Linked DNA regions of Nothobranchius furzeri. The protein of the gene in region 1 purifies or fractionates together with the protein of each later gene. This does not show direct contact. Links are inferred from orthologs where the notes say so. Each region holds a gene or a part of one and is shown on either strand. Other genes may lie near its edges.

Region 1 (4,553 bases):
GATGGCTGTGTGCTCCTCCTTCACACAACGCATAGAAATACCTTCACGAAAGAAAGGAATCAGCACAGAACAACGAGCTGAAGCTCCTCTCAGTGTCTACTCACCAAACTGGGTGTAGCCCTGACCCCTGCTCTTCCACTTGGGTCTCGACATGGCGATGGGATAGTTCCTCCTCGGCATTATCAGCATCCGGATCACCTTCTCGATTCCGTTCACGATGAAGTAACCTCCCATTTCCTGTTCAATTAACCAGCGTTTAGACGACATCCAATAACAGGAGGAGTCGCGTCAGCTCGGCTCACCTCTGCTTCTTCGTGATGCTTTACGAGCTCCTTGGGGGACATGCCGTAGAGGTTACACAGCTTTGACTTCACCATGATCGGCACCTGGCCCAGGGACTGCTTAATGATGCCTTTGGGAAAGCCGTTGATGGACCAGCTGACGTCTGCCTGAGATGACACATCGTCACACGCCTCACTACAAAACCTGCTACCTCACAGCTGCTCTTGATGAACAGAACATCTATGATAGCTTCCAGTCAGGTTTTCGTAGAGCTCATTCTACTGAAACAGCTCTTCTTAGGGTCTCTAATGACCTTCTGACTCACAGTGATGCAGGGGACGGTTCTGTTCTGGTCCTGCTGGACCTGACTGCAGCCTTTGACACTGTTGACCATCACCTGCTACTGGAGAGGCTGAGAGACTGGGTAGGCCTATCAGGAACTGCTCTGGAGTGGTACTCCTCTTTTCTTTCTGAGCGTTTCTTTTCTGTGGCCGTCTCCAAGTTTAGGTCCTCCACCACCTCTCTTACCCATGGTGTCCCACAAGGTTCTGTGCTGGGGCCTCTGCTCTTCCTCCTCTATCTGCTTCCTCTTCAGCACATCCTGAGCTCCTTCAAAGGAATCTCCTACCATCTTTATGCAGATGACATCCAACTGTACATCTCCTTTAAGCCCCATGAGATGTCTAAGCTGCAGCTGTTACACACCTGCTTAGACTCTATCAAAACCTGGATGGCTGGGAGTTTTCTTCAGCTGAATGAAGATAAGACTGAGATCCTCATCTGTGCCCCAGACAAGCTGGTTCCCAAAGTCAGAGACTCTCTTGGTCAGCTTGCTTCCCACACCAAAACTTCTGTCAGGAATCTTGGCGTGACCTTTGACCCAGCTCTCACCCTGGATTCTCATGTCAGTTCTCTTGTTGGCTCTTCCTTCTTCCATCTCAGGAACATTGCTAAACTGAGTCCCATTCTGTCCCGCTCTGAACTTGAGACAGTTCTCCACACCTTCATCTCCTCACGCTTAGACTACTGTAACTCTCTTTTCACGTGTCTGACCAGAACCTCCCTGAACCATCTACAGGTGGTTCAGAGTGCCTGTGCTCGGCTTCTGACCAAGTCCTCCAAACACACCCACATCACCCCCCTTCTCCTCCAGCCACTGATTTCCCTCTTTCCTATTAACTCTCTCTCTTTATTAAATTTTTTTTAATCACAATTGCCTATTTTTGCTCATTTTAAATGTATTTTTAAACATTTTCTAAATGCTTTTTTATATTTTTACATTTTTTGTTTTTGTGAAGCGCCTCGTGATTTTTATCTTGAGAGGCGCTATAGAAATGAAATTTTCTTCTTCATTCCAACAGGGAGGTGAGAGAGTTAGCCTAGCTTACCACCACTTTTCCTCGGTAAGTACTCCTCCTTCCTCTGCATTCTGCTGGAAACACCTTCATCTCTGTGCAGATGCTGCCTTTGGCGACCAGCGGGTTCTGGATGGTTGCATCAACGAACGTGAGGCTCAACTTTTCATTTCTGCACATGAACTCTATCGGAGGAATCGCCTGGAAAACATCAAACAAAAACTGTCCAAAAAGCAACCAGACGATCCCAAAAATCAACATGACCCCAAAGGAAAATAATAACAATAATAATAACCTCATCTACAGCCTTTAATAGTTAGTGAAGCTTCTGCTCTACTGCTGAGTAAAGGTTTGACCCTTTTCTGATATATGAAGTAGAAATGATAAATTTTAAATTTTAAAACATGTTATTGGCCAATTTTGTCATTTTACTTTTCTGTGCAATACGATTTCAGCCTGTAGTCTCGAATTTTATGTTCTAAATTGACTCCGTGTACCCCCCCACCCCCACACACACTTCATATCCTTTTGTTTTTTTCTGAACACTCAAGGGGGCTGCATCTAATTTTTTATGTGTTTTCACTGTAATACAGATATTCATTCAGGTGGTCAGAAGTCATGCTTTTAATTTGAAAAGTTTGAAATGAAAACATTTCATTCATAAAAAGTAACTGGTCCAAATTAGCGATTACATTTATTTACTACATTTTATTTCGTAATTAACTGTTCATTGTTTCCGTTTTAAATAAAGGTTTTTTATTGCCGTTAGAGACACATGTATGATATATGTCTACCAGATCTGACACACGTGGATTAAACATGTTAAAGTCAAAGAGGGCAACGAGAGGAGGAAATTAACCAGGAGTAGTATTTAGTCATTTCTCATATCCCTGCTGGAGTATTTATGATGTTTTAAATTATTAAAGTGAAAAAATAATTGTAAACCTGACTTTCTCACTGACCTGCACAAGGCGGTTGAGTCCATCAGTGACAGCCTGATCAAACGACTCGATGTGGGCTTTAGTCAGGTCCTGAACGGCGGCGTGTTGCGTCTCTTTCAGTTTACCGAATTCTCCATCGGTCAGGTTCTTTAGACTCGGTCCTGTCGGTACATTACTCCACTTAGCTGAAAAGTCCATGTTGGTGTAACCCGGGACGCTTGTTTACCACATGGACATCACGAAACAGGAAGTACATCACTGAAACAGGAAGTAGATCTGTCGTTGCTTTTTTTTTTTTTGTTGTTGTTCTCGAGTGATTTGTTAGCGCCCTCTTGTGGAGACAACGATGCGTTACACCAGTTTCCCTTTGCACTTGACGTCACGCTGCTCATGGGACTGTTTTCATTCACTTTTTCTTTGCTCATGTTCATAAAGCACATCAGTTGATCTCATAACAAAGTCTGTTTTTATGTGTAATTGTTGAGAAGCAACGCTCACTTCTACTGTGAGGGTAGCTGATGTGATTGGTGGTCGCGTATTTTCCAGAAGGGGGCGGTGTGTCACAGCCACACAGCTGCAGTTTTCAATAGAGAAGCGGGGGAGAATCAACGCTTAAACTGCAGTAAAATGTGCAAAAGCAGCATCTGGAAAGCGAGTAAAATAACCTATCTAACACAAAAGCTTGTAAAAGACTGAGTCCCGCTGTATTACTCAGGCTGCACTACAGTGTCTATTCACAGGCGCGATCCCACTACTGAGCGGCACGGGGGCTTTGACCTGCTCCGTTTCCGACCTGGGCCGGTGCACCCCTCCTTAGACGACCTGGTGGTCCCGGGCTTCCCCAGAAGCACCATATCGATACCGAACTTAGTGCGGACACCCGATCGACATAGTCCACTGCAGCTCAGAACTCCTGAGCTCAAACGATCCGCCAGCCTAAACCTCCCAGTAGCTTGGATTACAGGCACGCGCCACCGCACCCGGCGAGAGCTTCCTGTACTTATTGGGCTTTTAGCCTGTTAGCTGTTGACGTCATCCGACAGCGACACCCAGTGGTGTATCTCTGCTGGCTGGTCGTATTATGAACCCCCTGATACTGTGAGTTGTAAAATGTGTGTTCTTTTTGATGTTATTTGTAATTTTTGTAATGTTCTGATTTTAAGTAAAGGTTTGTAAAAAACGAGTTGCTATGTGCCTATGTCGTTTTATATTGTTTTACCTCATTATCAAAACAATTTTGAATATGCCAATTGGCTATATAAGCTATCCCCATAGACTGGCTATCCCAGGTGGATGGTGAGTGAAACGATGTATGTTCTAAAGAAAATGAGGGATATAGGGCCCAACTAAAAGACAAAACTTATCTTCAGGGAGTTCATCACACAGAGAGCCACTTATATCAGTATTTTTCTCAAAACGTTGCAAAAAAATTTGAATTGGTTTTAAAAAAAATCATTTAAATTCACTTTGTTTATCCTATATGTGGCTGACAAGATCCTAACCTTTCTCGTTTAGGTAATTGACAACGATGTTCCAGTAAGCTATTACATGGGTACTGAAGCAAATGTTTTTTTAACATGTAAATCCTGCAGCTTGTAGGCTAAACAAAATTAATTTACCTGGAAATGATTATCTCTCAGCATTTAAGAGCATGTCACCCCTATTCCCAAATCAACATTTTTGTTAAGAGTGTCTAGTTGACGTGTGTAGTCATTATTCTTGGCACTTTAGTGCATCTCATTTCAAATATAAATATTCTGCCTAAAACCCGCCTTCTTCAGGTTAAAAATCTGCACTACATTTGAATTTGAATTAGCCATCGCTATTGGCTGAGCAGTACCTTGTAACTTTAGCTGGTAGCACATGACACGCCTGAGTCGTGGCCATGCCGCCGGCTGCCTCGGCCACACACGAGCCGATACACAAGGATACGGCTCAAAGCTGCTTGCCTCCTCCAAGAAACCTTCCTCCTCCT
Region 2 (4,064 bases), on another chromosome or scaffold:
TTTCTGACGTTTAAATCTGTCCATTACACTTTTCTAAATGCATCATTTAACACCATTTTTGCGCGCGCTGCCTCAGACGATAAAAAAAACCTTGGCGACGACAAACACAACTCTGCTGCACTCTCCTCGTGTTTGCTGGCCATTAATCTTTGTGTGTCCTCGCCCCATTTAACAATAGCCCTCTTGGTTAGTCAATTATCATGAAGAGACCAACTGAACTCAATTAACCGCCGTGCGCGTTTGGAGCGCGCGTCTCCACGGCCTTTTACGCACGACTTTCAGACGCATGTTTGTCACGCGGGACGAGCCGGCTTTTATTTTGATAGTCTGCGCAGCTTCGATAGACTATTTGCACTCAGATCTTCAAAAGCAATTATAGCACTTTCCAATGAATCTTAATGGCAGCACTCAACGGTGCAATAAAGTCCAGGTGAGCCATTTCTATGCAAAACACCCCCCTGCAATATGGCCTAATGGCCTTTATATTTGATCATTGTTGTAAAGAGGAAGGAAATTGTTAACCCAGGCTGTTCCATATGTGATTTATGAGGCGTGTTGCCCGTTAAGAAGGGAGGCAATCAGAATCAGACACTTTCGTCCCTGTAAAGTTGTAGAAATAATAAAAGACAGTGGAGTCAGAAAAAATGGAAAGATTTAATGGCCATCTGCCATCTCAAAGTGAGGACAATCACACAAAATCAACAGATTGTTCCTGAAACAAAATAAATGAAATGTTTTTTAGCTTTTTCATTGAGTAACAAACCAGTTTTTGACGGCATGTCAAAAAATGATAAAACATGCTTACTCTGTGGCGACAGCAGCGTGGCCTATGTAAACATCATGACACGTGATGAATAGTAATGGCGTTATAATAGAGATTAGGTCCCCCTCCTGTGACGAACACGGTTACACCTCATCATGAGTCACGAGAGAGACTGTTTGACCTCATTCTGTTGCATTTTATTGGGAAAAAAGAAAATAATCTACCAGTACGTCCAAAGAGACAAAACTCACTCTATTTCTCTGTAAAATGATATTTTAAATAAAGTTTTTCTCTTTTAAACACAAAGCAAACAGCAGCACCTCTCAGTCGGTTATGAGCTCCTGAGACTAAAAACAAAGCCGGTCCATTCATGAAGTCTGAATCCGTCTTTTTTTGTCTCTTTTCTGTCCATCGGCATGTTTCCGGTCTCTGTCGTCTTGGTGTCTGCTGCGTCTGTCCTTATCTCTGTCCGGCCTCTTATCTCGACTTGTGCGGCGGTCCATGTGAGGACGTTTATGATCCGAGGGGCCGCCAGTATTCCTGTGATCAGGCGGAGGCGTTCTGCTGCGGTCACGCTGTCTGTCCGGGGACTCGCTCCGAAGGCGTCCTCTTGTGGAGGAACATTTGGCTTGGGGTTCCTCTGTGCGCCGGTGCAGGCCCGTGGAGCGCAGGGTGTTGAGTAAGAAGCGTTTGTTGGTGCTCTGTAGAGGACACTTCAACCTGGAGAAAAATCCACAAACATCAGACACAGATCCAGAAAAATCCAGCAGTTGATGCCGAAAGAAGAAATTTAATTTCACAGATTCAATCAGACTTCAGCAACATGACTTTTGTGGGTGTTTTATCCCTTTAACTATAGAATAAAGAGGCTAAATAAGAAATTTTCACACATACGATTGAAATGCCCCAAAAAAACCTTTAATGTATATATATGATATAAGACCTCAAATTAAAATACCAACAGATAAGATAACTTTTAGTGCAAAACTAACATTTTTAGGAAGACACGTGGTGTGTTCAGATGGTTTAATGAGAACATGAGCAAAATAATCTAATATTTAAAATAATACTAGACACTAAGTAATTATCCAAAAAGAAAAAAGAAAAGAAAGAAAGCCAATCCACATGAGAGGGTCAGAGATATTTCAGAGCTCACCATCCTGCAGGACCCATGGTCTCTGCTCTCACCCGGGCTCTGTCAGTCTCCCTCAGGAGCTCCTCCACGGCGCGCCTAGACGGAACCGGACCCAGAACCAGGAGAATGAGTCATGAGACAAACAGGACAGAAATTCTGAGCAGATGTACAAGAAATATAAGATGAAAGTAAAGCGGACGTGTCCTTGTTTGACCCGAAATGAGTCTCATCACCAGATTGGACTCGCTACTTATGCCGACCTGAAACTACACACAACAGGCAGCTAGAGTCAACAAGTCAACTTTAAATACAGTAAACAACTCAGATCAGAACTACTAACAGACTGTTTTTCCGCAGCGTTACATTTTAGAGGGAAAATGTCTGCAAATGTGTTCAGACGGAAGTTAATAAAGATACATTTACTCACTTTTCTAGCTCATTTTCTTCCGCCATTGCGTCTTAATCACACAAAAACTCTTACAAATAAATAAAAACCTAATAAAACCTATAAATTTACGTTAATTTACGAGGCATTTCTTGTTCACTTCGCCGAGAGGTCCTTCAATCGCGGACCCTGTTTTTAGCTGCCCGGAGCAATGCCTGTTCAGTTGCAAAATCATGTTGAAAATAAGTTATGAAACCAAACTACATTTTTTATTTACAAGTAGATATGTTTGTGTATTATGTATTGATCTTTTTTAATTAAAATAATTGATATTTTTAAAAGTTCAATAAGTTATGGGGCACCCCTGGAAAAACATTTACAGCTGATTGTTTTAGCAACATTTGGCCACAAATAACTTTAAAACAAACATAGAATCAAACAAATATATAAACACACTTTGTTAAAAAAAAGGATTTATACTCAAATCGAAACGTAAAATGTGACATTTAAACTTGTACATTTTTTATTTGATTAAACATTTTCCATTGGGAACTAAGCCAACTTAATTCTTTGGTAAATTGTAAAAATAATTTAAATACATACAATGGCTTAATCAAAAGTAAAGTGATAGTTACAGAATATCATCAAGCAAGATATTTTAGTAATCTAGATTGTGATACATTAAAGGACAATAACAAACATTTTTATTTAGAAGTAATCTTCTTAAAGAAGACATATTATGCCTTTTGCATCCTTTTTGTGCCGCCATGTGCACTCTGCCTCTATAAACGCTCCAAACATGCCAATGTGTGGTTGTAGAAATGTTGTGCCTAAAACAAGCTATTTGAAATTGTCCCCAATTGTGACATCACAAGCAGGCCCAGTGCCAATACTCGCATTGCGCCCTGCAGTCTTCAGCAAAGTGCACTTGGAGAAAGTGTGCAGTAAGGCTTCGAGTGCGTGGACTACAACTGTGCAAATAATTGCTGAAGTGAGACAGGGAGCATTGCGTCATGAAACGCAACGCATGCCGAGATGCTGGTCCTGTGATACTTTTTCAAAAGCCTTTATTAACAACTTTTAAACAAACAACCCATTATTTGAAATAAATTTTAATTAATTGCTGCTTTGTCTAAAACATTCAGAGCATCAACTGATTGTCCCAAAACTAACTCATTCCATTAGAAAATATTCAGAAAAGGAACTTGAACCCTTTCTCCTGCAGCAATGACTTGTGGGTAATACACTTCACCCAGCACTGTAAGAATACTTTTGAGGCAGATAATTAAGTATATATTTGTTCTGTTTTTTTCTATTCTATTCTATTCTATTCTATTCTATTCTATTCTATTCTATTCTATTCTATTCTAATTTTTGTTCTGATCCTGTTTTTGAACAGGCGGTCGGTGTAAGCCACCTCTAAACTCAGCTCCGTAGACTCCTCCCATCACCTTTTGATTGGCAGCGGTGGGCGGGATCAGCGGCGCCAACGGTACGGGGGCGTTTTCTTGCGGGCTTGCGGAGCTCTCCGTCGGTTGCGGCGAATGCGTGATCGACGCCCCGCAGCTGATAATTGCTCCCCGCTTTGGGGCCCGAGTGGACGGCGCGGAGGAGCCGCCGGAAGAAGGTAAAACATCCATCACATCTGGAGACATCCATCTCCTGCATGAGCTGTGTCAGCGAGCGGGGTTGATGCTGTCGCCTCTTCTGTCCTGTCCTCTCGCGCCTCCGCTTCTGCAGGATGGGATGAAGTCAGACAGCTGGGGAGGGAGGTGAAAGAG

The links.
Region 2: the proteins of polr1b (region 1) and si:ch211-140b10.6 purify together in Homo sapiens (affinity purification with mass spectrometry; 5 studies listed by BioGRID and IntAct, with this or other methods). This does not show direct contact. The link is inferred for Nothobranchius furzeri from reciprocal best matches to the Homo sapiens genes POLR1B and POLR1D.

The regions. Positions count from the first base shown.
Region 1 is NC_091752.1:7,757,155-7,761,707, reverse strand, and holds the start of polr1b (DNA-directed RNA polymerase I subunit RPA2), read right to left. Parts: upstream 2,848-4,553; 5' UTR 2,777-2,847; coding exon 2,600-2,776; intron 1,839-2,599; coding exon 1,671-1,838; intron 450-1,670; coding exon 303-449; intron 238-302; coding exon 105-237; intron 42-104; coding exon 1-41. UniProt on the Homo sapiens protein: Catalytic core component of RNA polymerase I (Pol I), a DNA-dependent RNA polymerase which synthesizes ribosomal RNA precursors using the four ribonucleoside triphosphates as substrates.
Region 2 is NC_091747.1:51,105,942-51,110,005, reverse strand, and holds si:ch211-140b10.6 (protein POLR1D), read right to left. Parts: upstream 2,497-4,064; 5' UTR 2,352-2,496; coding exon 2,326-2,351; intron 1,995-2,325; coding exon 1,920-1,994; intron 1,484-1,919; coding exon 1,132-1,483; 3' UTR 636-1,131; downstream 1-635.